Arabidopsis thaliana: one gene and its partners. The protein of the gene in region 3 purifies or fractionates together with the protein of the main gene of each other region. This does not show direct contact. Each region holds a gene or a part of one and is shown on either strand. Other genes may lie near its edges. The genes, in order: AT1G57720, AT1G09640 and AT5G12110.

Region 1 (10,411 bases), on a different chromosome or scaffold from region 3:
CTCGATCATTACAAGAACAGACACATAGAACAATGACTTCTTCTTCTTATGTATGTAGTCTACTCATGATGCTCCTGAGTTGTTGTCTTTCTAAATGCAGCTTGATTTCTCTGCATTTTTTCATCCTTTGGAGGACTCCTCCTCATCTTCTGACACTAGATTTGTGTTGATCTCATGGCTGATCTTGGACATAACATGTGGATGCTTAGAAAGAAGCCAAAAGAACCAAGTGAGAGCTGATCAATTTGTGGTATCTCTTCCTGCTAACACTAGACTAAAAACCACATCTCTTATAAACTTATCATTTCTCCGTTTCAAAAGCTTGTGGCTTTCTTTCTCCTCTCTTCTTGAAGATATGATCTTCGAAAGAATTTCATTGACAGTTCTCAGCTTCCTCTCAAGACCAATTCCAGTCCAGTTTGACACTAGCTTTGAGATAAATTGTCCATCAAGCTATATACACAACACCTGTACATTCTTGAAGTGAGCAGTCTTGAGACAACTCTTCCGATACATTTACTTGTACGTGTCTCTTTCATTTTCTTCTTCTGAGAATCCCACTGAACCACTTCAATAATCTCATCTTTAGCTTACTCCTCTGGCAATGACCCAAACGGACTGCAAAGTAATAATATGTTTAAGGTTACATCCACTTAGTTTTCAAACACCATAGTTCAGGAAAGCAAATAATAACAAATTTGCAATGTGTTCATTATGCAGTTAAATGGAAGAAACTTTAAGCAGAGAAAAAGTGGTTAAGAGCTATTCCTAGGATAGAGAGAACTGCAGCGATTACAATGATCTCATCTGAACAACCAAGCTCACTTGAAGTCAAAATCATTTTCGATATCAAAAATGATGAAATGGAGACATGTAATAATGCAGTAGAAAATGCAAATGAACATTATATTTTAGATAACTCAAGGTCAAGAAGATAAAGTACCAGTGGAAGTTCTACTTCTTGGAATCCTGTTGGCGAAGTAAGTATAGCATCATCATCAAGGATCTGAAGTGAATAAAGTACTTCAAGTGCTAGGATCATTGCTTCATGGGACGGAGGCGCAGGCCATTCGAAACCAAGATATTATCTATGCCTAAAGCTTTTAGCTGAAAAAACCAAAAAATCAACAGAGCTTGAGCAATTTAGAAGCAAGAGCTCTCCCAAATTTTGTGTTCTTAAAATAAAATGAAGCTAAATGACAAGAGTTGAGCAAGTTTGGTATTACAGTAGAAACAAGATTCGACCTCTGCATCTCCAGGCATTTGGTTGAGAAGATAATCTTCGTTGTAAAGCCACAATTAAGACTATGTTTTACTGCACAATGACAAATAAGAGAAGGTTTTTACCGACAGGATTAACTCATACTCTGAACAGATTATACTGTGCAACAAAATCATTACCTATACTTTGTCAAGAGACAAGAAGATGTTGCTATTGCAGGATTTTGCACTGTTATGCCTCTCTAGCTAACATTGCAAACATATATAGCAAATTACTAGGTTATAAATTTTCTTAATGGTCTAAGAACCCTGAAGTTAGCAAAGCCAGGTGCTTTCCCCCAAAAGAACACTGGCAATCTCTGTCTATGCTTCATTAAAATTAAATTAGTGATTTGGATTTATTTGGATACTTTTAAATTTTATGGAGATTTAATTTGATTTGAGATAATTTTGTAGAATTTACTAGTTACAAATCTTAGTGGTTATGGATGTCGAAAAAAAAAGATGTTACAAAAACCTACGTAGTTATGATAACTAGAGATTTTATAATATTTAATTGAGAAGCTAAAAATATGAGGTTAAAACCAAAAAAAGGAAATTGTAAAAACAAAAACGAGATTACAAAAAAGGAAATTGTAAAAAAAATGGAAATCGCCGACTTAAGGTTTAGTTATAAAATTAACAACAAACACAAGATCACTTGTCAACAACATTCATCACAACACAAAGACCATCACTTCCTCTCTGCCTCCGTCTCTTGTTCGGTTTCATACCTTTGTCTTCTAATTCCAAAAACCAACAATGGTTCCAGAAATCACTATTGATGTTAACGTCTTTCCGAGTCCACGCAAGTCTTCATCGAATACAGTGGAGATCAATCTCAAGCGTGAGAGCGACGACAAGTGTGATGATGCTCCTCTGTTCCAAATCACTCAACTTATCTTAAAAGACGTCGTTAACTTTGATCCACACAAGACCTCTCCTCTCCTCGAAACAATCTTTCCAGACAGTATCTCAGGCACTCGTCTTTGCGTTGAGATGGCTTTAGCATCCGAACGAGTTCCAGCGCCGTTTGACATGTACCTTCACGTCACAGTGAGATTCGTCGAAGAATCCACTTCTAGTTCTCCTCTAGAAAACAAGACATGCGCTATTTGTTTGGAGGATATGTCACAGGATGTACATGACTATCAGGAGATGCCGAATTGTCCCCATGTCTTTCATAATGACTGTATCTACAAATGGTTGGGTCATAGTAATTTGTGCCCTCTCTGCCGCACTGTTCTTGAAGATGAAGATGACGACGATTATCCCTACTACTCCTAAACAGAGTCATGAAGATTTCTTTTTTTAGGGTTTTTAGGTTAAGAATGATGATTTGTTGATTTTCTTGAGATGATATTGTAATGATTCGATTTGTTTGAGATAATATAGTAATGATTCGATTTATTTGATTTTCTTAAGACAAGATCTTAATCTACCTTTTGTTTATTTTGGTCATTAAACTCTTTGTAGAGAACGAATTAGGTTTACTTGGTATATCTTCTCATCTTAATAAACTTGAGTGATTTTAAGCCTCTCGGACCTAATATCTATGAACATGTTCAACATACACTCTCCTTATAAGCTCACCTCATGGCTCTATTTCTTACACCTATCTCTTAAATGTTGCTGTGTAGACCAACATTCGATTGGCTTAAAAGGAATTTGGGTTTTAGTGAACATATCTGAATCATCAAGTTAGAGACGTGTTAGAGACAAGTTAGAGACGTGTAATATTACAACTTTAAAATGAAATTCAGTATGCCCCATTAAACGAGATTCTTTGCATCTTCCAAGCAACTAATTTAAAGAGAGAATGTCACACACACGAGTTTGGATAATAAAAAACAAAATAAAAACAATAACTAGAAGTTGTAATGTATTTAAGAACAATATTCTGTCAAAATAACATTGAGAAGCAACTAGTTCTTAAACCCGAGTACGATTCAAAAGGTGGTAAGGACTCTCTAGAAGGTATCAAAACACGAGTAACAGAGTAAACCTCTACGGAGATACAAAGAGCCTTTTCACTTAAAGCATTTGGCGTCCAAAAGAGCCTCGCCTTCAAATGGCTCAGCGTCTTCAATCATCTGGCTAACACGCTCCTTCTGTGCTTCATCGGAGATATCAACCTTAGTCCACTCGTACAGCTCCATGTCGTACACCTCATCCATTATGAACTTGGGGATCTCTGGTCCACGGAAAAGCCATAAACCCTTCACCTTGAAAGGACCCTCTGACCCGCAAATAAGCATCTTTCCAAAGGAGTATTTACGTGCCAAGTCCATACGCTGAAGGAACCCTCCTACCTTGTTGAGTGTAACAAAGGAGACCATGTTCTCATCGTTGTACTTATAGTCACAGAACCATAGTGAGTACCCCTCCGGGTCATACATGTCCCAGAATCCTGCAATGAAGAAAAACATTCAAGGCATTGAGCTTAATAGAATGTACTTTCAGACTCTGGGCCATACATGTCCCATAAACCATAGTGAGTACCCCTCTAAGTCTACTATATCTAGCTTAGGAGGCAATTTAGTAGACTAGAGCAGCTGTGAATTGTTTAGAGAGTCGTTAGTAAGCACTGGTATTATAAGGATGTCACAGCACATTGTCTCGGATTTTTGTAGCTTTCTTCTTAACAAGTTGATTCCATAAACCTAGAACAATTTCTTCTAAAGAACAATTAACAGAAGTCATCATATAACATACCTTTGATAGCAACCTCACGGAAGTTGGATTTGGTGTTCGAGTAAAGCCTCTTCCAGTCATCGAGAACCATTGGGCTTGGTGGTAGCAAGTCAAGAGGATTCTTGGCTTTAGGCTTTGGTGCTTCCTCCTCCTCAGCAGGCTTTGGTGCCTCTGCTACAGGGGCTGCCTTCTTGGGCTCCTCCTTGGGCTTAGCAGGCTGTGGAGCTTTCTTAGTAGGAACTGGAGGGACAGCTTCGGTTTGTTTGGCATCACCCAACACCTTCTTGAATTCTGGCTGGTTAACCATTGTCCAGAAGTATCTCTCAACATGAGGGAATGCAGAGGTAAATTTCTTGGTCATCACGGTGGCAAATCCCAAGTTCAAGTTGCAGATTGTGACAATATCAGCAAGGGTGACAGAGTGTCCAACAAGGAAAGTGTTGGAGGCGAGATGTGTGTTCAGAGCCTCAAGTCCTCTCTTCAATGCAGAAATTGCCGCTTCCTCAGCCTTCATTCAGATAAAACCATTAAAAAGATTAGTCAAGCTTAGACTAGTCAAATACTAATCTTAGCGAGTAAGGAGTAGCATGATTTGTTAGTACAGAGAGTGCATGAGACAAGGCACAAAAAATGAGGGAAAGCTTACTGGGGCAGAGAAGGGAGCATAGCCCATTCTTGGAGCAAACCACTTCAACATGTTAGCATCAATCTCCAATGAGGAGAAATCGATCCATTGCTCAATGTGAGCCTGAAAAGTAAACACATGCACATAGACATGAATCAATGATAGTAAACAAGAGATAAACACAAAGGTACGATAATTTTAAAAGGAAAGGCCATTGGATAAACAGGAGCTTACGTATTCAATAAGGGAGGATCCATTCAAAGAGTTGTCACCATTCTTACGGCTCACTGAAGGGGGATAACAAAACAATCATCATATCCAATTAATACCAAGTTATAGATAGGTGCATCAAAGAGAAACAGAAGGAAATGAAGTTATACCATATCGGGCAATGGCATTGCTCTCAAATATGGGACCTTCAGGAGTCTCAAGCACAGGAACCTAGTGGGATCATAATCTTTTATTAGCTAGGAATTTACAGCAAACATCAATCAAAACTTCTCGAAAGAGATTCCATACCTTTCCAATAGGGTTCATCTTAAGGAACTCAGGTGACTTGTTAGTGACGCCCATCTGAAAGTCTGCGGACTCCTCGATCTTCACACCCGCATACTCTGCAGCAATAAGTGCCTTATTGGCACCTTTGTTTCCCTTGTATGTGTGCATGACCTGATAAATAGTATGATTTACACAAACTTCATCAATGAAACTCAACAGAAATTGCATAGTTATATTCATCCAAAGTAGTTTTTCAATGCAACACAAAATCCAGTTCTCAGATTAATAAACAATCGTCCAAGATACCTAAATCATTCTAAAATCAAACTATATTCCCAGATTTAAGATACATGAATCAAAATTCATAAACTATCATCAACAGATCAGTAAAACCAATCGTGACGGATCTGATGAAACGTGTAATGATCTCAGAAGTGAGTACTTACCAACGCCATTGCTCAAACGGAGAAGATATACGAACTCGGAGATTTTCTGAGTTCAGATCTAGTTACCAAAGAAAACACCAAGTAAAAATCAGTTAATCGTCGATGAAATTTTGAAACGAGAGAAGCGTATATGAAGAAGAAGTTGATAGATTGATTCTTACGAGAGACTTTCTGCAAAAACAATTCCGAGAGAGCAAAGCGAGAGAGAAGAAGATACAAAAGCGGCGGCGAGAAATAGTATTAGAGTGTGGAAATTAGGGCTGTGTGAAGTCGGTTTTGGAGAATATTCCTTTTTCGTTTGATTCGGTTTAGCTTTTGGTTTTGTCAAATTTGGTTTGCTTATTTTTAAGGTTTAAACGATTATAACTTTTGCATTTATGTATAACATAATAAAAATTAGCGTATTGTTTTACCCAAAGTAAAGTTGGAGTTTTGTTTTTGCATTTTTTGACAGATTTTGCTGACATTTCCCCATGGCCATTTTGATATGTAGTTTAGTTGGTTGTATCCATATCCTTGGTGTGCCAAACTCGCATGTTGTTGAAAAAGAAGAAAAAGAAACACTAGTTCATCGAAATTCGTAGAAGCAACCTCACAAAGTTACTTCTCTGATTCATGTCTCTATGTGGTTTCTTCCTCTCCAAGATATCCTAAACGACAACCAAAAACAAAGTTTTAGACCATACAAACTAAACTTTAAATCCGAAAATGATATATCCTTTTTAAAAATAAGTTGTGTTGTGCTTTTTAAATTCAAAAGGGTTATTAACTTATTATGCAAGATTGATCCATAGATGTAAACTAAAACGTTACCACGTACAATGCCAATTAATATAATTAGGTTTTTGATACACCAACTCCAAGTATGGGTTTGAATAAATACAAAATTGATGAATTTTGTAACCCTTCTTTCACTTTGTGAAAATGAAATAAAATCTTTTAATTAAGTAGCTTCCAAAACTATTAGAGGGCATTATTGGTAGGTCCACTAAACTATGTTATTGTTCGTATGTCATACATATATAGATGTTTTTTTATTGAGTTCGATTTCTTCTACGAAGTTTACAAAATTGGTTACCTTCCACAAGTCTTTGCGTATCATTTCTTCACAACTTACTCCTTTTGGTCAACAGTACCAACAACTTTAATTTCAAGCATCTTCCGCCTCTTCTTCTTCTGCACTGCGTTTACTTTGTGTGACCAAAAATCCAAACTAAAGATATGGAGGTTCCAATCTGGCAATGGTGTTTGATCGTCATAGTGATCATATTCTTGGCAATTGCTTCCCATTTTCTGGGAAGAATCTTGTGTAGCCCTCGAGAGAGAATCGCAGATAGTAAAGCCGAGAAAAAACATGGACCAGCCGAAGCAGACAAGACTGCGAAAGGTGGCTCCGACCAACTCGTGTGATGATCTCAAAGAGCATGCATATATCGTCAAGTTTGGTTTGTAATTTGTAAGTTCATTTTTTTTTTTACTATTATTGTAAAATAATACTAATTGTTCACATCCATATATACATATATGCGTAAATATATATATGTGTGTGATCAATTCCAATTTAAAAAAAAAGAAGCATTGGAGAGAACACTAGTAAGCTCTTAAATTTGTTTTCAATTAGTCATCAACTCATCATCAAGTCTAAGAAACCAAAATGTAATTCGGGTTTACAACATTGCATGGTTAGCTTCATATTATGGGAAATTAAACTTTGATAGTTAGACCAAAAAAAACAAAAAACGTTGATAGTGTTGACCTTGGTGATGGAAATCAAATGAAATCAACTTTTAACCGTGGGTTGGCTATGTGCATATCGGATTAGAACCGATAATTGAGCTGCTGTAGACTCGCTTTAGGTTTGGTTTAATGTCCATGTTATGTTAAAAGGCTGTTATAATTGTTGAAACAAAGTTTTACAACAACCAAATTAAAAAAAAAGTTGTTGTAACAAAGCATGCTATAAAAAGGTAGAGCAAGGATCCATCTTGTGTATGATATATATATACATTTTAACATATGTAATTTCGTGTGAGAAATTCAGTTACTGAGAAGATAGTGAATTGCAAGTATTACGTAACGTAGGGATCTCAATCAAGTCCCGAAATCGTAAAAGCCTCACGTCTTTTCTTCTTCCTATTTCTTGGATCCTCTGTTCTTGTTCTGTTTTTCTTTCTTTGGTGGTTCTTGAGAGATTGAGAGAGTGAGTGAGTGTGAGAAATATTAAGTCAGAAGGATAAAATTCGATTCAGCTCCGCATATTCGATTGACATAGTTTAATTAAAACAGTGGAAAGATTCATGCAGCTTATAAAAAAAAAAAAAAAAAACCAAGAAATACTTTGATATTAGGTGATCAACGAATAATCTGAATATTGCAGAAAATATGATGAATGTTATTTTTCTTGAGCTTGCAAGCAGAATTTGAATAACTTTTCTTCAATATTTAGGGTTTATATTCCACATAATTTGAAGGCTTTTGTAAAACCTAAAAACGTACTATTTACAATTTTAGATTTAGCTTCAAATATGTAATAGTAAATCTTAAGCATGTTGCTAAAAAAAAAAAAAAAAAAAAAACTTATGCATGTAATTCTTTACATTGATGTATATATATATACAAAATATATTCATATGTTACAAAAAGAATCCTAATACTGTAAATTCATGATTTATCTAAAGATTTGTTGCTTTACTCAAAGATATTTTGTTTCGAAAAGAATATGGTTAATTCATGATTTATCTAAAAAAATTTTGGTTTACTCCAAGATCTGCAGTAACATAATGGTTAATGTATCTCATTGATAATTGATTGCCAGGTTTAAAGCCCGATAGAAAATATCTTTTTTTTAATGCGATAAAGAATCATGTTTCATAAAGAATCATATGTTTCATAAAGAATATTGCAAAAATTAAAATTAAAAAATTTCTATGACAAATTGTGTCAGGATCATTAGCAGTTATGGCCCGATGTTAATAGGAAAATTTTGGCTAATCCAATTCAATCTCTAATATACTAGATTGATGGTTCATGAAAATCTTTGGGTGTTTTCAAGGAAATGATCAAAGGGTCTTTCTTGGTGCAAAGTGTCTTCGGAGGTGTCCCTCCTCCCTACACTCGGAGATGAAAGTTTTAATTTGGGTTATGAAGAATATCCTTTCAAGAAGGATTGATTGTAAGGCTTTTGAAACAGATTGTTAGAAGTTAGTCTTCGATGGTGCAGTCTCTTGAAGAATGACCCACTTTATCCAATCTACTAGATGAGTTTAGAATGCTTTGTGTGTTATTTTCCGGTTTCTCGATTTCTTATATTTCTCGTTTATATAATTGTAAGGTGGATTGTTTAGTTCGCTCTTCTCGTTTACTGCTTTCGGAAATTTATTTTATAGACTATTTCTCTCCAAATTAGGCAATCAATCATGAAGTTATATTTTAAATAATTTGTGGTTGATAAAAAAAAAGATTTATCTCAAAATCCGTTGATTTATACAAAGATCCGCTGTAGCACAATGGTTAAAACAGCTGTCTAAACATCTGATTTCCGAGTTCAAAGCTCGGCAGTGGAAAAATATTTTTCTTTTTAATTTTTTATATTAGAATGAAATTGAAAACGCCTCACTTTTAATGCAGTCAAGACGAAACTAGTCTCTCGATATCTGTTTTAATGAGAGAGATAGAAAAAGGTTTCTAAACTTTAGTTTGAGAGCTCGTTGACGAATAATAACATCGTTTTCACTTTTCACTACAGAGTAGGATTTAGTGATTGGTGAATCTTTATTCTCTATGATCAAGATTTATTAGATTATCCAAAAGAATGGAGAACATTAATCAGATAAACTGTTAGCAATTTGACTATACAACTCAAGATCCTAAATCCTAAACCTTTCTTCTAAACCATACAAGTCTAACAAACAAAAAAATGCAAGTATGATGAAGAACCATCATCAGATTTTTAGCCAAAAAGTTTGTTTATTGTTGCACTACTCTCTCTAAGAAACTCATTTTGAATAAATCCCCCAAAATATCACCTTCCATTAGCTGGAAACAAGGTTTGAGCCTGTCGGTTATCGTCTCTCTTAGCCTTATCGGCTTGAGCTCGTCGTACAGCCAACAAGATCTGTCTTTCATGTTCTTTCAACATTTCATCCAAGTTTCCTTCTCCTGGAATCAATGGTCCTGAGTACTGAATCCTCCCTCTCTTCTCACCATCATAGCCCTGCTTTCACCAAATTATGTTTAGCCACAGATATACAAACACAAGAGACTAATAACAACAGTGTTACTTCTCGTTTTTACCATTATTGACTCTTTGCTAGAGGATGAAGGGTCATCTTTCCTAATACCATTAGGTTTCTCCAACAATCTTTGGGACAAATTGAAATTCTCTGAACCATCTTCAAGCCAGCGTTGGTTCACTATAGCGTCTCTCATACTTCCAAACTGTGATCCATCTCTAGTAGGTGCCATTGAGTTTGAGAATCTTGACAATTGGCCAGACCCGCGTTGGACATAGGACCTTTGTGTTCTCAGTTGGCTTGATCCGTTAGGATGGTTGTCTCCGTTTGTGTAGATTGGGTAGGGATTTTGTGCGGTATTGCCCTTCAGTGGTTCGATCCGGAAGCCATTGCCAGAATCTCCCTCAGGATTAAACTTCTCACTAATGCTTGTCCGGTTAGTCTCCCCTAGACGTTTCTTTGAAAGGGAAAAATTCCAAGTAATAAGATAGAAGCATAGGCATACATACACACAAACACACACATGCATCTGTAGACTAAGAAATTACCTGTATTGATGCCAGTAACTCGGCATTGGCACTAGGAGCCGGTACAGCTTTGGACTCTCTAGCCAACCGCTTCTGTTCATTCTGTTTACTGCTCGAACCTTTCCGTCT
Region 2 (10,396 bases), on a different chromosome or scaffold from region 3:
GAGTTTCTAATGAAGGTTGTTGCCCATAATATTTGTAGGCAGACAAAAATATGATAAGAGGAGGGAGTTTGCTTGCAGCTTCTTTGTGTGTCAGTGGGACATGAGGAACAAGCCACTTGATAATTTCTGTATAATGTGTTGAGTTTTGAAACACAAACATTAATTTCATTTTAAGTTTTGAATTTCTCCATGTGTCTATTTTACTCTTCATTATCTACTGGTTTTGAGATTTAAGGTTCAGATTCAAATTACTTCAAATGTCCGCCACAATTAGACAACAAAGAGATTTAAGAAACACATATGTACAATTAAAGTACAATTCAAAGCAGAGGTGATTTGAAGTACTCGAGCGGACTTCAAATATGGTTTGCGTCAAGACAAAGTTGAGGATTACTTTAAAAGTTTTGTACTCTATTTAAAAACAGTATGCATTCATTTATAAACCAGTTTTTATTTTTTTCTTGAATATAATTTAATATTAAATTCAAAAAAAAAAAAAAAAGACATGTTAAGAAATCTCCATTGGAGATGGTCTAAGGAAAAGTAAAACTCAACACTTTCTGTTTCTTAAATCTAATCGTTTGAGTAAGAATTTTCTAGGAATCTTAAGACAGGGACACAGATCTCTTAACTAATTTGTCTAGAGGGTTAGAACCTAAACTTACATCGAATTTGTTTAGAACCTAAACTCACGCTATTTGTCAAAAAAAAGTGAAAGAAAGAAAAATGAATTGTACAACATTGGAAAACAATCGTCTGGAGAGGATAATTGATGAACTGATGATGATTAGTGACAAGACAGCTACATCAGTTACTAGCCCAACAAAGTATGCGTATATATATACTTCAAATTTAAATACCCATAAGTGATAAGTTCCACCTACATGCTCAGACAAACGAACACAAACAAACATGAGGCCTTTGTTGACAAATTTGCGTTTTTAATCTCGAAGACCTAATTCAACCTCGAGTTCATCATCTTCCTCAAACAGCTTCAACAGTCGAGCATACTGCTCGTCTCTTTTCTTCTTTTGCCATAGCTTGTATAGGAAGAACGAGAACATGGCCACAGCCACAAATCCAACTAGAACAAGGATAACTTTTGTGCCTGTTTTGCTGGAAGAAGTATGAGATTCTGTCTTAACTCCTGCATTCGTGTTCTTGGAATCACCCGATAGACCTGAAAATATCATATCAGAAGACTTAGTTACTAGATGCCCTCTTAGCATATACAACAAAAAAAAATCAAGGTTTATGGTGTCCTCAAGTGCACTCGTGACTGTAAAATCTTGTCGTGTAGACACTCACTAGTCAGCTAAAGCTACACAGTCTATCCTCAAATAGTTACCATGTTTCTTATATTCGACTAAAGGGGAACAACAACAGCTACACACATAGACAACAGAGAACAAGATCAATTGCAACATGCATTTAAAGAAATTTACGGGAAAGAGAAAGAGATGAGCCTACTTCTTTTAAAAGCACATGGTGGCCAATTGTATAAATAGCTTATGTAAGAACTTTAAATGTCTGAAAACTATAGGCAACAAGTAAATACATATCTCATTAGTCAACTGCAGCATCACCATGAAACAACTGAGGAATTATATAAATACTTGTCACAAAAGCAATAGATTTTGCAGACAACCTCTTCAAATCAGGACATGGTCTCGCATTTAGGACAAAGGTAAACAACTATTATCCAGTGAAGTTAGTAAAAGAAACTATAACCACACCAAACCCATGAACTGAACGGTAAAATCCTCTTTGCTTATTTTCTCTTCACTAACATGTTAAGCACAAAGTTAGTGATTTGGCCAAGATCTACTCAAAAGAGAAATACAATCTTCCTATCTGCATGTTTCGATCCTGATCGCAAAAGACCTAATGCGTAAAGATTAAACACACTGTAGTATTTAGAAAGAGCCAAGTTGAGCTAAATATAACATAAATCTAGCGAATTGAGAACCTAAAATCCCAAAGGAATACTAAATCAGATGAGGATTCTACAAAAAAGTGAAATGAAATCAGATAGATCTGAAGAAGACGAACCTAAGAAGAACTGCAAACCAATCGAAGCGAAGAACAGTAAACGCCGCCATGAAAGACCACCAGTTGCTGAGTTCTGTCTCATCTCTCTCTGTCGATATGATTTTTCTGCTTGTAAGCAAGAACGGATCGATCTTTACTGCTGCAGAGAACAAATTCTTCTGGTGGAACAACTTTTGATGTTGAAATTAGAAAAAGGGAAAAGAACAATTCGACCACCCAGATTTTCTTTACAGGATTATATGCCTTGTAGCAGTAAAGAACAATTCATTTCGCTTGAGACCAACTTTATTAAATACGTCATTAATAAATTGATATACACTACCTTTCTTTTCTTATTTTGTGACCAATCTAACATATAGTAATATTTTTGGTAGTTACCAATCTAACGTATAATATAATTATCTATACATTTCTCAGCGAAACAATAATTTTTTATTTTTTGGTCAAACAGCGAATAATAATTATAATCAGCAATTTGTATATATAATCTGATACGAAAAATATTATGAACAAATGTTACATTATTTTGTCATAAGTTACATGTTCTTTTATTAGAGTTGTGTGGCGTATTAAGTTGTCTACCTTTTTTTATTCGTTAGTTAATTTCGAGATGAACATGCCAGTTCTTCTTCTACGAAATTAACTAGACTTATTATTCTTCAAGAGTTTGCTTTTTCAGCAATTTTTAAAATTGGAAAAATGTTCAATATATGTGCCAAAAAGACTTTACCACTAAATGTTCAACTCAAAGACCAATGTATATAAGTTGACCGAAACGCGTCAAAGAAAATCAATCAAGGCAAAATTACCGTAAAACAAATAAACCAGACCATGTATTGCCTATTGCCAGGGTAGACTGGCCGGTCAGGATTTCGAAAACTGGTATAGTAAACAATTCTGGACGGAGGCGAAACATTAACAAAGAACTAAAAAGACTTGTCCTTGACACTCGATTAGAAAAGAAAAAAACAGTCTATGCGACACGTCACAGAGCAAAACCCCTATGTGAGACAGACAGATAGAAAGATATGTAAAGCCCCAGCTGCAAAACCTGTAAATGGAAGTACCAAACCATTCTCTCTTCTCACTTGAAGCACTTGGCGTCCAAGAGAGCCTCACCTTCAAATGGCTCTGCGTCTTCAATCATCTGGCTAACACGCTCCTTCTGGGCTTCATCTGAGATATCAACCTTAGTCCACTCATACAGCTCCATGTCGTACACCTCGTCCATTATGAACTTTGGGATCTCTGGTCCACGGAACAGCCATAAACCCTTCACCTTGAACGGACCCTCTGACCCACAAATCAGCATCTTTCCAAAGGAGTATTTACGTGCCAAGTCCATACGCTGAAGGAACCCACCAACCTTGTTGAGCGTGACAAATGACACCATGTTCTCATCGTTGTACTTGTAGTCACAGAACCATAGTGAGTATCCCTCTGGGTCATACATGTCCCAGAATCCTGCATTTGAGCCACAATATTAGACATGATAAAAAACAATTGATTCCAATAGCTAAATAATTCCCTGATAGCAAAGCTGAAAAACTAGGTAGAGGAAGATATCACCACACACCTTTAATAGCAACCTCGCGGAAGTTAGATTTGGTGTTTGAGTAAAGCCTCTTCCAATCATCTAGAACCATAGGGCTTGGTGGTAGCAAGTCAAGAGGGTTCTTGGCTTTGGGCTTTGGTGCCTCTTCCTCTTCAGCAAGCTTAGGTGCCTCTGCTACTGGGGCTTCCTTTTTCTTAGGCTCTTCTTTGGGCTTTGCAGGCTGGGCAGCTTTCTTGGAAGCAATAGGAGGGACAGCTTCAGTCTGTTTGACATCACCCAACACTTTAGTGAAGTTTGGTTGGTTAACCACAGTCCAGAAGTACCTCTCAACATGAGGAAATTCAGAGGTAAATTTCTTGGTCATGACAGTAGCAAATCCCAAGTTCAAGTTGCAGACAGTGATGATATCAGCAAGGGTAATAGAGTGTCCGACAAGGTAAGTGTTAGACGTGAGATGTGTGTTCAGAGCATCAAGTGCTCTCTTCAACGTAGAGATCGCACCTTCTTCAGCCTTCATTTATATAACAATCACGGATGAGACTATTTATATAGTGAAAAGAATACCTAGATTGCCATCACAAAGAGTGAATGAAACAACCAATGAAAGTCAAAAAAGCTTACCGGAGCACTGTATGGCATAAAGCCCATTCTTGGGCCGAACCACCTCAAGATACTTGCATAGATCTCCAATGAAGAGAAATCAATCCATTGCTCAATTTGTGCCTGCGAAAAAACAACATGCAGATAACCATTGAGAATACTAACAAATAGAATGACAAACAATAGAAGAGGTGTCAATGGATTAGAGAAGAGTAGCCCCCAGGGAAAAAACAGCTACTTACATATTCGATCAGGGAGGATCCGTTCAAAGAGTTGTCACCATTCAATCGGCTTACTGTATTGAGATATCAACAGATCCATTAAACCCAAACGACAACAAGCAATCAAACTAGACACTGAGAGACAATTAAAGGAGAAAGTTATGAATGCTTTACCATAACGGGCAATTGCGTTGCTTTCAAATACTGAACCCTCGGGAGTCTCAAGTACAGGAACCTAGCAAGATCAATAACTCTTGGTTAGCTGAAAAATAGACTTAATAATACTCAGTCCAGAAATTTAGCAAACACCAGTGATGACAAACCTTTCCAATAGGGTTCATCTTGAGGAACGCAGGGGTTTTGTTAGTGACACCCATCTGAAAGTCAGAGGGCACATCGATCTGCACACCAACGTACTCTGCTGCAATGAGTGCCTTCTCAGCACTTTTGTTTCCCTTGTACGTGTGCAAGACCTGCAATCGTAATTCATCATCAGCACAATAATACGTATTCCAAATCAATAACTTAACAATAGAGTAGCTACATATCCAAACTAACATAATTTTAATCAATTTGGTGTATGAACAATCGTTCTATAAACTTAGATCCTAAAATTTACAAATCTAACGTTTCTACAATTATATCGATACATGATGCGATCGTAACAGTAGACAATCATAGAGAACTCACCAAAGCCATTGCTCAGACGGAATTCAAGCGAACTTGGGGCTTCTGATATCGGATCTGGTTCCAAGGAAAAAAAATCAAGCAGTGAGCTCGCAATTGACATGATCATAAATATGAATATGAGCTAACTGGAGAAAAAAAGATTGTTCGATCGATGGATCTTACCAGATATTCTGAAGAATCTTCCGTGAGAGCAAATCGAGAGAGAAGAAGCAAAAAGTTGAGGCGGAGAAAAGCTATAAAGGAGTGTTGAAGGGATGATGATGAAGAAGTAGGGTTTTTAAAATCTGTATTGAGTGTATTCCTCTGGTTTGGCTCGGTTTTGTTTGGTTTTATTTCTGATTTTTGTTTATTTTCCGGTTAAGCTCTAATTACTTTCCCTTTTATTAGCATGTATAAATGAATTACATATATGTAGGCTTTTTTAGTAAGCCCAACTTGACAAGAAAAGGTCTTCGTCGTTGGGCAATAACAAGCCGAGAAGGTTGAATAGAGAAGATCCAAGGGGAAAGAGAAATTAAATTATTTATTTATTTCTGTCATCTTCTCCTTTTCTATTTCAAAATCCCAAATCTAAAGCACTCCTCGAGAAAAGTGTAACAATGGCGAGAAGACCGGACGAAGAATACGACTACTTGTTTAAAGTGGTTTTGATCGGAGACTCCGGTGTCGGCAAGTCTAATCTCCTCTCTAGATTCACTCGCAACGAGTTCTGCTTAGAATCCAAATCCACCATTGGTGTCGAATTCGCTACTCGTACTCTCCAAGTACGCACACATCTCTCTCTATATATATAGTATATAGTGTAATCGAAATGTTGCTGGATCTAGGTTTAGTTCTAAGTTAAGCAGCATCCGGTGCTTTTCGATTCGATCCGTATCTGTGTTCGTATGAATACTCGGAAGCAGTCATTGTGTGTAGGAACATTTGGGCTTGGTTTTGAATTTTGATGTTTACATGTGTGGTGCCTGTTTTTTTCATTTGGTCGAGATTTTTGCTTTGGTATCTCTTAATTTAAGCGTTTTATTGATAATGTTCCCAAATTTGTCGATACTCTGGTACGTGGTAGTGTAAGGCTCCCTCACATGTCAGATCTAAAACCTTGTTTAAGGCAGATCTAAGAATCTCTTCATCTGAAATTGATCTCGAACATGATTTTCTTTTGAAGTATGAATCATGGTTGTTGTTTCACAGTTTCTAGTTTTCTTACTGGGTTGTTTGTGGAATTTAGCTGCGAAGTTACTAATTTTGTTGTTGCAGACACACTAATCATAGAGTCTGCTGCTCATTAGATCTGAATTAACCTATTAAAAAACCTATGATCTTTGTTCTAAGGTGGAAGGAAGGACTGTGAAAGCTCAGATATGGGACACGGCTGGGCAAGAACGATACAGAGCCATAACTAGCGCCTATTACAGAGGTGCACTTGGAGCTCTTTTGGTCTATGATGTCACCAAGCCAACAACGTTTGAGAATGTAAGCAGGTGGTTAAAAGAACTAAGAGACCATGCAGATTCCAATATAGTGATCATGTTGATTGGGAACAAGACAGATCTGAAGCATCTCAGAGCAGTTGCCACAGAGGATGCTCAGAGCTATGCAGAGAAAGAAGGCTTATCTTTCATCGAGACATCGGCTCTCGAGGCATTAAACGTAGAAAAGGCTTTTCAGACGATTCTCTCGGAGGTTTATAGGATCATCAGCAAGAAGTCGATATCTTCAGACCAGACAACTGCAAATGCCAACATCAAGGAAGGCCAAACAATTGATGTGGCTGCTACTTCTGAATCAAACGCTAAGAAGCCTTGTTGCTCATCGTCTTGAAAGGCTTTGTTTGTGTTGCACTTAAAAAAAGCCAAATATCTATGAGACTTTATTTCAAGGCTTGCGTTGTATTTGTTTTCTTTCTTTTTTCTGTTGTTGATAATATAACTCAAAGATAATTTTTTATATCAATTGTGGAGTTCGGAATCGTTCACACAAAACAAATTTTGGAAACGAAAAATATTTTTAGGGAATTAATTGTAGTTTTGAGTGGTAGTTGTAATGTAGTATCAGAAAAATAAGCAGAGTATAAAATGAAATAAACAAATACCAACGTAGACTATAGTTTGAATTTTTAATAGAGCAGAAATTCTTCGATTTCAAAGATAATTTAAATAAAGTAGACAAAATCACACAATATACATTTTTCAATCAAGAAGAAATGGAAAAGCAAAGAAAGGAAGTTAATTAAAAAAAAGGGGGAAAAAAAAAACGGAAGTCAACAAGAATACAGGCAAAACCAAAAATATATATTTGACGGAACAAAAAAAACAAAATATATATTTTATAGTATTAGTTTATGACATTATCTTTTTGCTAGTTTATGAGATTTATGAAGAAAAGGAAATATACTTTTAAAGTTGATAAATTGAAAAAAATTAGAAGAATGATTTACTTTTATTTTAGTTATTTTCTAGCAAGTTTTTTGTCAAAATGGTAAATTTCCAAGTCTTTCGAGTAGTTCCCGCCTCCTATAATATCAACAACTTTTAAGCAACTTGTAATCATCAACAAACAATTTACTTTGTTTCTTTGTCACTGAAAACAAATACATAAAAAAGATGGAGATCCCAATCTGGGGATGGTGTATTATCGTCGCAGGAATAATAATGGTGACGGTTTTATGCAATTTGCTCGATAGGTGGTGCTCGAAACCTCTTGAGATAGAAGAAGATGGTAAAGCGTCGTCTTCTGTAACTTTGGAGAAGAAGGATCCAGTGAAAGAAGATGGTAAGAGCAAGACGAACGAGAAGGCACAAGCTAAGCCAAATAATAATCTCGTTTGAAGAAAATTTTCAATATATTTGTTTTGCATCCCTTGTTTTTATCATATAGTTTTCTTATTTTTAACAAAGGTTAGACTCTTGAGAATCTAAAGAGTTTGAAAGATGTTATCTATGTATGGTTTCTTTATCTTATCATAACTAACTAAACATGTTGTGTGGTGTTGATGAAAGATTGAAAGGATTAATCAATCACATTCTCTAGAACCAAAGTCGAGAATTCTTTTAACTATTAGTCTCTTAGATTTGCTTCCATTACTAATCTTTCAAGTTTGAGGTGTAACTCAAATTTCTCAACATTTTTTTTCATGCAAATCTAAATTTCTGCAAATACAATGAAATTATACCATTAAACAATCCACCATATATAATATACGACATAAGCATCGCACAATAAAAAACCAGTAACATTTGAAAAGGGGAGGAGAAAGAAAACATGAATATTATTTAACAAAAAAAAAAAAACAAAAAAAGAAAAAGAAATTGAACGTCTACTAGTTAAAAAAAAAAAAAAAAAAAAAACTTTGAAGTCCCCAAATATCTGGGCCTTTTAGTGGATGTGGCCCAAATTCTAAATGGGTTTGACTTGGATCCGGTTTTGGCGAGACTAGTTCAGTTTAATAATCAGCCGTCGAATCCAAAGACTGAAGAAGGTAGTCTTAAAGAAAAACCCTAGAAACCATTACTTATCTCTCCCACTGGCTCTGTCTCTGTCAAATCTCGGATCGATTTCGCGGTGGGCTCGATTCGTGATTCCTCAAAGTTCATCATCCCTAAGGTAATTCTCTCCCCAAGCTGGTAGACTCAATCTACCGATTTTTGTGTTGCACTTAAGAAGCCGATATCTAAATTAGAGGTTTGCGTTTTTTTGGGGTAGGCACTGTCACTTAATGGCATCGGAATCGAAAAGCTACGCTAGGAGAGATCGTCTTCTTGAGATTGAGGCCACTGTTCGAAAGTGGTGGGAAGACGAGGATGTATTCAGAGCCGAATCTTGTGAGAATCTTCCAAAACCAGGAGAAAAGTTTTTCTCAACCTTCCCTTTCCCGTATATGAATGGTTATCTACACATTGGGCATGCCTTTTCATTGTCCAAGGTTGATTTTGCTTCTGCTTACCATAGGCTAAGAGGAGCTAATGTGCTTCTTCCATTTGGTTTCCATTGTACTGGTATGCCAATTAAGGCTTCTGCGGATAAGCTTCGTCGTGAGATTGAACAGTTTGGTAACCCTCCTGTGTTTACTGCTGAAGACACCACCAAAGTTCCTGAAGTTCAGGAGGAGAGCAGTGATACTATAGCTTTACCGATTCCGGGTCAGTTCAAGGGAAAGAAGTCTAAGGTTGCTGCCAAAGCTGGTGGACAGGTTTATCAGTGGGAGATTATGCGCAGTTTTGGTCTTACTGACAGTGAGATTGCAAATTTCCGAGAGCCTTCTGAATGGTTGTATTACTTTCCCCCTTTGGCTGTTGAAGATCTAAGGGCATATGGATTGGGTTGTGATTGGAGACGCTCGTTTGTGACCACTGATGTTAATCCCTTTTTCGATGCCTTTGTGAGGTGGCAGATGAGGAAGTTGAAATCTATGGGAAAGATTGTTAAAGACCGCAGGTACACTATATTCTCACCTTTAGATGGCCAGCCTTGTGCTGATCACGACCGTGCTACTGGGGAAGGTGTTCAGCCTCAAGAGTATACACTCATAAAGATGGAAGTAGTCAAGCCATTCCCTCTGAAACTGGGTCCTTTGGAAGGCAAGAGAGTGTTTTTGGCTGCAGCTACTTTGAGGCCTGAGACCATGTATGGACAAACAAACGCATGGGTACTACCTGATGGGAAATATGGAGCTTATGAAATCAGCGAAACTGAGGTCTTCATCCTTACTGAGAGAGCTGCGCTCAACCTTGCGTACCAGAACTTTTCGAAGAACCCTCAGGAGCCTTCCTGCTTGGTTGAGTTGACCGGGTATGATCTGATTGGACTCCCTTTGAGGTCTCCTCTGTCAGTCAACGAGATCATCTATGCTCTGCCCATGTTGACCATTCTGACCAACAAAGGTACTGGCATTGTCACCAGTGTGCCTAGTGATGCTCCTGATGATTACATGGCTTTACAAGATTTAATCAAAAAGCCTGCTCTTCAAGATAAGTATGGTGTGAAAACGGAATGGTTGCCCACTGAAATCATACCGATCATCAACATTCCGGAATTTGGGGATAAAGCTGCTGAAAAGGTCTGCTTGGATCTGAAAATTAAAAGCCAAAACGATAAGGAAAAGCTTGCAGAGGCTAAGAGGTTGACTTACCTGAAAGGATTTACCGAAGGAACCATGCTTATTGGAGAGTTTTTTGGTAGGAAAGTTCAAGAAATTAAGCCCATTATCAAGACAAAGCTCATAGAGACTGGCGAGGCAATCATATACAGTGAACCCGAGAAGCCGGTGATGTCAAGATCG
Region 3 (9,747 bases):
CCAAATGATCTCATGCTAGCTCTCGAGATGAGAGAAACTAGCTACAAAGTTTCACAGAAAAACCTTAGAAGATTACAAAATGATTCGATGATCGAAAACGATGACTCTCCTCAGCGTCATATACACGCCTAACGGCCAATTCTGATCTGCAAACCAACACATGCCACGCGTCACTTCCAGATCCTTCTTTATTCTTCACTGACTTCACACGTGCCAACTCCCACGTGCGGGTTCTGCATCACAAATTCTTGGGAAAAGGTGTTTATGGTTCTGTTGATCTCATCAGATACACTAAAACCGATGGTTCCTCGTTACAAGCCGCCGTAAAAACATCTTACGCTGAAGATCTCGAAGAATACGACGCGCTCAAAAGAGAGATACAGATTCTGTCTGAACTCAAGGGATATCCCAACATCGTTATTTGCTATGGAGACGATTTGGAAGAAGATTTCAACGAACACGGACACAAAGTTTACAAATTGCTTCTTGAATACGCAAACGAAGGGAGTTTAAGTTCATTCATGGAGAATTATCCCGACAGAAAGTTACCAGATCCGATGATCAGAGACTTCACGCGGATGATTCTCGAAGGATTGGTCTCAATGCATAGTCACGGTTATGTTCATTGCGATCTCAAATCCGATAACCTTCTTATCTTCTCTCGGAAAGATTCTGCTTCGTGCGAGTTAAAGATTTTTGATTTTGGAAACTGTAGACAAGTCGGAGAAGTTCCGGATCACTGGAAAAGTGATTACCCGTATGTGGGAACGCCTGAGTCTTTCTTCGACGGTGTTGCCAAGAAAACCCTAGATTTGTGGTCGTTAGGGTGCTTAGTGTTGAAGATTTATACAGGTGAGCAGCCATGGGAAAGAGTTACTAGTGTCGATTTCGTGAATTTTCTTAGTGATGGTGAAGCTCCAAATATTCCTGAATATGTGCCTTGTGATGCAAGAGAGTTTATTGAAACGTGTTTCGCAAGGGAACATGAGAAGAGAGGTACCGCGTCTGAGTTGTTATTGCATCCGTTTTTGTGTCAGAAGCAACCCTTGCTGGTGAAGTTGAAATTGAGAATCAAACAAGCTTCGAAGATAACAATGGGTATTAGAGAGAAGCCCCTGACATTGAAGATGTTTCTATCTAAGCCTCCACAACTTAAAAAACTTTTGAGTAAACTTTTGAGGTTGAAGAAGATGATTCATCCGAAACCATTGGAATTGGATTCTAGTTTCGTTTCTTACAGTAGTGATCTCTGTTTATTATAAGTGTATAGATCACAATTATGCAAATAACTCATCCCTATCAATCTGTAATTTACGAGATTAGTACTGTTGAGTTTAGTTTTGCTTTGAAGTATTTTTTTTGGATAATTACGTATTTACATCTTTAAATAGGTTTCACTGTGTGTTGTATATGCGATCCAAGGTGCTTTGAATCGTTAAATTGATATGATGGTGAAATTAATATAGCTTACTATCTCATTAGTGCATAAGCCAAACGTGACAAGGTAACTCATACATGGCAGAGAGAACATTGCTCTGCAATAGCTTCTTACCTTGTTGTGACCTGTGATACTAGTGTGTGACAACAAGAAATGAAAAATGTAAAGTTTCCTTAAAACTTTAATCAAACAGTATAATCAAGCAATGAAATGAACAATTTTGTTTTTAATTTCAAAATGATTATCAAAGTTCTATTCATGTCCGAATATTCGTTTTATTTTAAGGTTATTTCGTTAAGATTCACTTTTGCAGAGCGTCGCCGGCAGCTCAACGATGGTGACTCGCTTAAGACTCGTTTCGAGATCTTCTCGTTACGCCACCGTCAAGTTCACTGACTCTGTCTCAGCATGCTCATGTCGTCGTCTCTTCTCTGCCTCCACCGACCCCGAACCCGAATCTCAACCCGAACAAGCCCCGCCTACGAATCCCGTCACCGGAGACGAAAAGCTACGGAATCTCCGAGTTCTTCTCCAGCAGAATCGAATCGAAACGGCGCGTGGCGTTCTCTCTTCGCTGCTTCGATCGGATTCTACGCCTTTCGCATCGCCGAAAGAGCTCTTCTCCGCCTTCTCGTTATCATCTCCGTCGTTGAAACACGATTTCTCCTACTTGCTTCTCTCCGTGCTACTAAACGAATCGAAGATGATTTCTGAAGCTGCGGATTTGTTTTTCGCTTTGAGGAATGAAGGTATTTATCCCAGCTCAGATTCGTTAACGCTTTTGCTTGATCATCTTGTGAAGACGAAACAATTCAGAGTGACTATAAACGTGTTTTTGAACATTCTCGAATCTGATTTTCGTCCGAGTAAGTTCATGTATGGGAAAGCAATTCAAGCTGCTGTGAAATTGAGCGATGTAGGTAAAGGTTTAGAGCTGTTTAACCGGATGAAGCACGATAGAATCTATCCCAGTGTGTTTATCTACAATGTCCTTATTGATGGATTGTGTAAAGGGAAAAGGATGAATGATGCAGAACAGTTGTTCGACGAAATGCTTGCAAGAAGATTGTTACCTTCTTTGATAACGTATAACACGTTGATTGATGGATATTGCAAAGCTGGGAATCCGGAAAAGAGTTTTAAAGTGAGAGAACGTATGAAAGCGGATCATATCGAACCGAGTCTTATTACGTTTAATACTTTGCTTAAGGGGCTGTTTAAAGCTGGAATGGTGGAAGATGCAGAGAATGTTTTGAAGGAAATGAAGGATCTGGGGTTTGTACCAGATGCTTTCACCTTCAGTATTCTGTTTGATGGTTATTCGAGTAACGAGAAAGCTGAGGCTGCGTTGGGTGTTTATGAGACTGCGGTTGATTCTGGCGTGAAAATGAATGCTTATACTTGTAGCATTTTGTTGAATGCGTTGTGCAAAGAAGGAAAGATCGAGAAAGCGGAAGAGATTTTGGGGAGAGAGATGGCTAAGGGGCTTGTCCCGAACGAGGTTATTTATAACACTATGATTGATGGATACTGTCGAAAAGGTGATCTGGTTGGTGCTCGTATGAAAATTGAAGCAATGGAGAAACAAGGGATGAAGCCAGATCATTTGGCGTATAATTGTTTGATTAGGAGATTTTGTGAATTGGGGGAAATGGAGAATGCTGAGAAAGAGGTTAACAAAATGAAACTGAAGGGAGTTTCTCCTAGCGTGGAGACATATAACATCCTGATTGGGGGCTATGGGAGAAAATATGAATTTGATAAGTGCTTCGACATTCTTAAAGAAATGGAAGATAACGGGACAATGCCGAATGTAGTTAGCTATGGAACTCTGATAAATTGTTTGTGCAAAGGTTCTAAACTTCTTGAAGCTCAGATTGTTAAGAGGGATATGGAAGATAGAGGGGTTTCACCGAAAGTAAGGATATATAACATGCTAATCGATGGTTGTTGCTCAAAGGGGAAGATAGAAGACGCTTTCCGGTTTTCTAAGGAGATGCTCAAAAAGGGAATAGAATTAAACCTGGTGACTTATAACACCCTCATTGATGGGTTGTCCATGACCGGAAAATTATCAGAAGCTGAAGACTTACTTCTTGAAATCTCAAGAAAGGGTCTCAAACCAGATGTATTCACGTATAACTCACTAATATCTGGATATGGATTCGCTGGAAACGTGCAAAGATGTATCGCGCTCTATGAAGAGATGAAGAGATCAGGAATAAAACCCACTCTGAAGACATATCATCTTTTGATCAGTTTGTGTACCAAGGAGGGGATAGAGCTCACAGAGAGATTATTTGGAGAGATGTCATTGAAACCAGACTTATTAGTTTACAATGGGGTTCTCCATTGCTACGCCGTACATGGAGACATGGAAAAGGCTTTTAATTTGCAGAAGCAGATGATTGAAAAGAGTATCGGTTTGGATAAGACAACCTATAACAGCTTGATTCTGGGACAACTGAAGGTAGGAAAACTGTGCGAGGTTAGGAGTTTGATTGACGAGATGAATGCCCGGGAAATGGAACCTGAAGCTGATACATATAACATAATAGTGAAAGGGCATTGCGAGGTGAAAGATTATATGAGTGCATATGTTTGGTACAGAGAGATGCAAGAGAAGGGTTTTCTGTTAGATGTTTGCATAGGCAACGAGCTAGTGAGTGGGCTTAAAGAAGAATGGAGGTCAAAGGAGGCAGAGATTGTCATTTCTGAGATGAATGGTCGCATGCTAGGTGATGTAACAGTGGATGAAGATCTATCTGCAACAGAGAAGCTTTGAAAATCAATAATGTGTGCTTCAAGATAAATCCTTTGACTCCTGGTTCACTTCCACCAATCTGGTCAGTCCGAATCAGGGCTCCGTAGATGATTTCAGTTTGGTTTGGCTCGGTTAAGGTTTTGACTTATCTTATCCACCAGTAGATGTCATGAGTCATGACCGAAACTTTCTTTGAGGACCTTAAAAGTCCACAACGTTTTTATGGGATCCATATTTATGGTAATTTACGATAGGTACAATGACTTTGAGTTAGGCTTTAGGTTGATTGGTAGATTAACAAAGGTAAGAATAGTAAACCATTTGTTCTAGTTATCTGTTTTGAAAATGAGATAGAACTAATTTGTATCATACGCAATGTCTCAAGCTTTTACTGTTTTTTACAGAAAACAGTAAACCGGACTGTACTAGAATGATGTGACATAAGTCAAAAATCACCAAAACATAAATGAGAAAAAAACAAACAAACAAAAATTTAGTAGAGTTTTCAAACGTGTGAGTGGCACGGTGGGAGGGAACACTCTAGAAAAGAAAATTAGCCCCACAAAGTCACTAGAAGCATCTCTTCAAGGCATTCTCTGGTTTACCCTATTTTAGAGTGAGTGAGCTCGTCTTCTCTCCACAGAAACTTAACTTGAGCTGCATCAATGGCGGTTACATTTTCTGATCTCCACACAGAGCGAGGTCTCAAAACCCTCGAGGAACATCTCGCCGGTAAAACGTACATCTCCGGGTAAACACGCATATTCTTTCATAATTTGCTATATCATTCATCAATAGCTTAGATTTTGCACAGTTTCTACTTACATCTTGGAACTCGGTTTTGTTTCAGCGATCAGCTTTCGGTTGATGATGTGAAGGTTTACGCTGCCGTATTGGAGAATCCAGGTGATGGTTTTCCCAATGCTAGCAAGTGGTACGATTCTGTTGCTTCTCACCTAGCTAAAAGGTTCGTTTTATTCTCATTCGTTTTTGCTTCTTGTTGATCTTCTGATTGAATGGCTCTTTGGAGAATGATGACTTCTTTGAATGTTTCAGTTTTCCCGGGAAAGCAGACGGAGTGAGAGTTGGTGGTGGTGTTGCTCCTCCATCTGAAGCTCATCCACATACTGAGGTACTAAAAGTAGTCAAAATATGGAATGACGCCAATGTAATCTGTTTGTAGAATTGAAACAATTATTTGATAGTGTGAGATCAAGTAGAGGAAAATGCAATTGTGGTGCTGTTGGAATGATGATTTTGTATACTGTAATTTAGCTTTGCCCCTCAACTTATATCTGCAGGAACCTGCTGCTGATGGTGATGGTGATGATGATGATGATATTGATCTTTTCGCTGATGAGACTGAAGATGAGAAAAAAGCTGCTGAAGAGAGAGAAGCTGCTAAGAAAGATACTAAGAAGACTAAAGAGAGTAAGTCTTTCTCTAAACTTGGATTGGATCACTGTGGACTATTATAGTGTAAATTGTTAGAATCTTGAGATCCTGCTCATGTTTGGTTACTTTTGTTATTCTCTTTTAACTTTTTTGTTAGGTGGAAAATCTTCTGTGCTACTGGAAGTAAAACCATGGGATGATGAAACCGACATGAAGAAGTTAGAAGAAGCTGTTCGTAGTGTTCAGATGCCAGGTCTTACATGGGGAGCTTGTAAGTCAAAGAATGTTTATCTATTTTGCACAAGAGCTCAAGTTTTTTTTTTTTTTTGGTTTCTGATGTGAGCAATTTGTTGCAGCGAAATTGGTACCTGTTGGTTACGGGATAAAGAAACTCACAATCATGATGACAATTGTTGATGACCTTGTGTCTGTGGACAACCTCATTGAAGACCATCTCACCTCAGAGCCTAACAACGAGTACATCCAAAGTGTCGATATTGTCGCTTTTAACAAGATTTAGACACATGAGAAAGATGTCGAGTTTTTCAGTTTTGGTGTCAGTCTTGTTGTGTTTCGCTAAAGTCTCTTCTTCAAGTTCCAAGGCCAACTTTGGAGTTGAAGCACATTAACTTCACTTCACTTGGTCTTAATTAAAAGCTATTTGTAAGTTCTTGTCTAAGATAAATTGCCTGGGCTTGGTAACGTGTGGAAAGAATTGCGGTTAAAAGGCCTAATATGTGACCACATTGAAATACCAAACCCTTATTTACTGCTTACCCTCTTCTAGGCTATAACAGAAGAAAGCACATGATGGTGTGATATTCAGAAGCATTTTGGTAGCTCCATGTTAAATATGTGGGGAGGATATAAAATATAAGGAAATTTGAAAGATCCATTTTGAGCAAACAAGCAAGAAACACTTGATAAAACCAGTAACCACAAACTCATATCATCCATCACCTCTCTCTCTCTCCTTTCATTTATCTTTATTCTAGAAGAAGAGCATTTTATCACCTTTAAAGCGAAGGAGGCACATACTGTCTAGACAAACTAAACAGATCTTTACCCTCAAAAGGCGATGTCCACTCTCTCCCATTTCCAACTAAAGCAGCTTCCTGCACTCCCATTGCCACACCCATCCCATTCCCATTCGTCATCATTCTTGTCCTTCCATTCATGTGCGCTTCATACGGGGATGATGCTGCACTATATGGGGATGATGCTGCCACATACTGCTGGCTAGGTCTCACACAAGCTAGGCCTTTATCTAGACTCCAGTCGATGTTGTTGTAATCCAAATGCCCCAGTGACCCATCCGTGTTCCAGTCCAGCCCAGAAGAAGATGATCCCGCCAGTGATCCAAACCCCGAGAAGAGCCCAAGAGAAGCAGCTGGAGCCACAGCAGGCGGAGCAGAAGATCCTGCCATTCTGTGACCATTGTTGTTCACTTGGCCTTGATATTGTTGATACTGAAGTTGCTGGTACATCAGGTTTGAGTTCAGATCATTAGGAGGCAGACTTCTTGAGGGCAAGTATCCGTTAGATTGGGCCGCCTCAGATCTATTTGCAGGGTGCCAACCGCTGCCTGCTGCTGCTGCTCCGGTAAAGGATGCATTCATGGTAGAGACAGGTAGCACATTTGTGTTAGCGGATTGAGAACGTTGTTGTTGTTGCTGCTGCTGCTGCATCACCATAACTGGTTCCCTCATATCTTGCTGCTGAAGCCTCTTGAATTGATCGCCTAGAGCCGTCACATAATGTGTTTCTTCTGTTGATCGAGACAGTGGTGTCTGTTGATATGGTATGCGTTTATTCTCTTCAAGGGGGGCATTTTGCTGCAGTTTCATCCACTGCAACTTCATGTGAATTCTTTCCAACGAATTTACACTTTGGTTTTCGGATTCTCCACTAATGTAGCTGGATCCTCTGGGGTAACCGAGATTCTTTCTGTCAAGGGCTTCTTCCCTGCCTGCAGGATACATACCTGAGTTAGGTTGTAACTGGCCTACTGTATTCTGACTTGTGAGCACAGAAGGGACTTTGCTATTGTTAACAGAAGTACTATCACTAATATCCTCTGGTTTTCTAGACGCAGTAGATTGGTCTTGCTTCTGTCTTCTTAATGCTTCTTCTGCTTTCTCAATGTCCCCCTCTGCTGTAACCACAGCTCTTTCTACATCCTGCTTGGTGCACTTATATTTTGTTTCCAACTCTAAGATTCTACCCAACTCTTGTGATATGTCAAGCTTTAAGTTCCCAGAGGTCGGATCTAGTTTCTTATCTGCTACTTTTGCCCCACCATCATCAAACAGCCAATTAATAGATTCCTCTATTTTCCCTTCATTCAACATAAGAGCATAAGTTGCCCGCTCATGAGGAATCCCCATAGATATAATCAGCTGAGCATGAACTTCAAGTTTTCTCGACATGAGATACTGACAGCATCGCTCATGCAACTCCTGAGCTCGCTTTTCCTTTTGACGCTGATGCTTTCTTTCATTCTTCAGACGCATCTTATCTCGCTTGTCATTGTCAGCTCCAGGAATGATTTCTTGTTTTGCAGCAATACTAGTACTAGGTACTTTCTCTTTGTGATCTTCAGATTCACCTGACCAGCTACCATTATTAGAGACAGAATCACAGTCAGCTCCAGTTGAATCCGACTCATCAATGTGTCTGAACCGGCCATTATTGTGAAGAGATGATGAGCCAGTTGCTGAAAGCGACTCAATGGTTTGAAATGTCCCCAAAAGTGGATTATAACCACCAACCACAACACTACTTCCACCCATGGATCCAGACGCTTTACTAGGTGTCTTCTGTGAATCATTCATGACCTTCTTGTCTCTCGATTTCATCTTGGATGCACTAGACATCTTCTCAACACAAAGTTATCCTACAGTTTTCACAAAAAAATGAGATAAGTAAACACAATAATCTTCTCTTAACATCTATATCTAATATCAATGGTGATTTGAGCTCCAATGTCAAAGATGGAGATTCTTCAACATAGATTTCCACAGAGACGACTATTATTACTACTACATCGTTGATATCACAAACGTAATGGATCCATTGCAAGAACGAATCAGAAAATCAAAGACGATACAACAATCTCCGGAGATCAATTCTGAATCGAATAAGGTGAAAACGCAAATTCGCGGCGACAAAGAAAGCATTAGCAGTTGAAATCAAATCCATAACAAGAAGAAGAAACCATATTTGAGCTATAGAGGGACGAAATTCGAACGAATCAAGGAAACCTAAAAGGCGAAAAAGGAAATGCGAGATTTGGAAGAAGAAACCAAATCGAAGTAATAGATCACTGACGGGACGGGAGAGAGAAAGATGAACCTGGTAGGTTGATCGGAGTCGTTGACGGAGAAGCGAGATCCGGAGAAGAAGAAGAAGAAGAAGAAGAAGGTGAGAGAGCTTCAAGGCGATGAGGATGAGGAACGAGAGGAGAGTGCGATTATATGAATAATACCAAAAAAGAGAATAAACTCGGCGTTTCGAATCCCCAAATCGATAACACCTATTGGCAAATTAGGGTTTGGTTTAGACTAATTTTGATTTGTTTCCTTCTTTTCTTTAATTTCTTAACAAACAAACCGAAAATGAGTAGCAAAAACCAAACCAAAGTCTGAGCCATTGATTTCTTTTATTAGATTTTTTCAGTTTTTTTTTTCTTCTAGGTTCATTTCCAGTTGTCTTTGTTTTGATTTCAGTTGTCAACATAACTGATTAATTTAAACATGTTAGATTTACATGGGTAGGACTCGGACAGAAGTATTGTAGTTTTAAGGATTTTGATAACACACACAACTAATAAGGTTTGTACAAATTTCAACAAACAATTAATAATTGGATTCTGTTAGAAAATAATATCCAAAAGTAAGAACTAAGCATAAAAAATAAAAAATAAATGCACTTTACTGAACAATAACGTCTTGTTGAATTACTTGGTGGATTAAGGAGACTTTTCAATTGTCGAGAAAACTCTATATTCTTAAGTCTCTCACATATGAACAACATATGGTTTCAAAGACTTTTGGACAAACCATGACTTCATGATGTGTTTTTTTAATTAATGAGTCATCTCGCCAATATGCAAGTCATACTATTAATGGTTGTATCAAAAGTCAACCCG

Evidence for each region.
Region 1: the proteins of AT5G12110 (region 3) and AT1G57720 fractionate together in Arabidopsis thaliana (co-fractionation; one large-scale study listed by BioGRID). This does not show direct contact.
Region 2: the proteins of AT5G12110 (region 3) and AT1G09640 fractionate together in Arabidopsis thaliana (co-fractionation; one large-scale study listed by BioGRID). This does not show direct contact.

The regions. Positions count from the first base shown.
Region 1 is NC_003070.9:21,372,994-21,383,404, reverse strand, and holds AT1G57720 (Translation elongation factor EF1B, gamma chain), read right to left. Parts: upstream 6,086-10,411; 5' UTR 5,685-6,085; intron 5,671-5,684; exon of another isoform or gene 5,582-5,670; 5' UTR 5,533-5,581; coding exon 5,524-5,532; intron 5,249-5,523; coding exon 5,099-5,248; intron 5,021-5,098; coding exon 4,960-5,020; intron 4,867-4,959; coding exon 4,814-4,866; intron 4,703-4,813; coding exon 4,601-4,702; intron 4,463-4,600; coding exon 3,976-4,462; intron 3,671-3,975; coding exon 3,291-3,670; 3' UTR 3,026-3,290; downstream 1-3,025. Other genes in the region: AT1G57730 (RING/U-box superfamily protein), read left to right, coding at 2,023-2,547; AT1G57700 (Protein kinase superfamily protein), read right to left, coding at 9,545-9,736, 9,817-10,212, 10,304-10,409. UniProt on the Arabidopsis thaliana protein: Probably plays a role in anchoring the complex to other cellular components.
Region 2 is NC_003070.9:3,114,893-3,125,288, reverse strand, and holds AT1G09640 (Translation elongation factor EF1B, gamma chain), read right to left. Parts: upstream 5,551-10,396; 5' UTR 5,281-5,550; intron 5,173-5,280; 5' UTR 5,128-5,172; coding exon 5,119-5,127; intron 4,902-5,118; coding exon 4,752-4,901; intron 4,664-4,751; coding exon 4,603-4,663; intron 4,503-4,602; coding exon 4,450-4,502; intron 4,331-4,449; coding exon 4,229-4,330; intron 4,119-4,228; coding exon 3,629-4,118; intron 3,517-3,628; coding exon 3,137-3,516; 3' UTR 2,747-3,136; downstream 1-2,746. Other genes in the region: AT1G09645 (uncharacterized protein), read right to left, coding at 942-1,180, 2,053-2,134; RAB11c (RAB GTPase 11C), read left to right, coding at 5,718-5,882, 6,451-6,939; AT1G09625 (uncharacterized protein), read left to right, coding at 7,722-7,946; AT1G09620 (ATP binding/leucine-tRNA ligases/aminoacyl-tRNA ligase), read left to right, coding at 8,834-10,396. UniProt on the Arabidopsis thaliana protein: Probably plays a role in anchoring the complex to other cellular components.
Region 3 is NC_003076.8:3,909,616-3,919,362, forward strand, and holds AT5G12110 (elongation factor 1-beta 1), read left to right. Parts: upstream 1-4,852; 5' UTR 4,853-4,867; coding exon 4,868-4,953; intron 4,954-5,052; coding exon 5,053-5,169; intron 5,170-5,258; coding exon 5,259-5,334; intron 5,335-5,503; coding exon 5,504-5,633; intron 5,634-5,754; coding exon 5,755-5,868; intron 5,869-5,953; coding exon 5,954-6,117; 3' UTR 6,118-6,613; downstream 6,614-9,747. Other genes in the region: AT5G12090 (Protein kinase superfamily protein), read left to right, coding at 88-115, 181-1,262; AT5G12100 (pentatricopeptide (PPR) repeat-containing protein), read left to right, coding at 1,773-4,223; AT5G12120 (Ubiquitin-associated/translation elongation factor EF1B protein), read right to left, coding at 6,614-8,473. UniProt on the Arabidopsis thaliana protein: EF-1-beta and EF-1-delta stimulate the exchange of GDP bound to EF-1-alpha to GTP.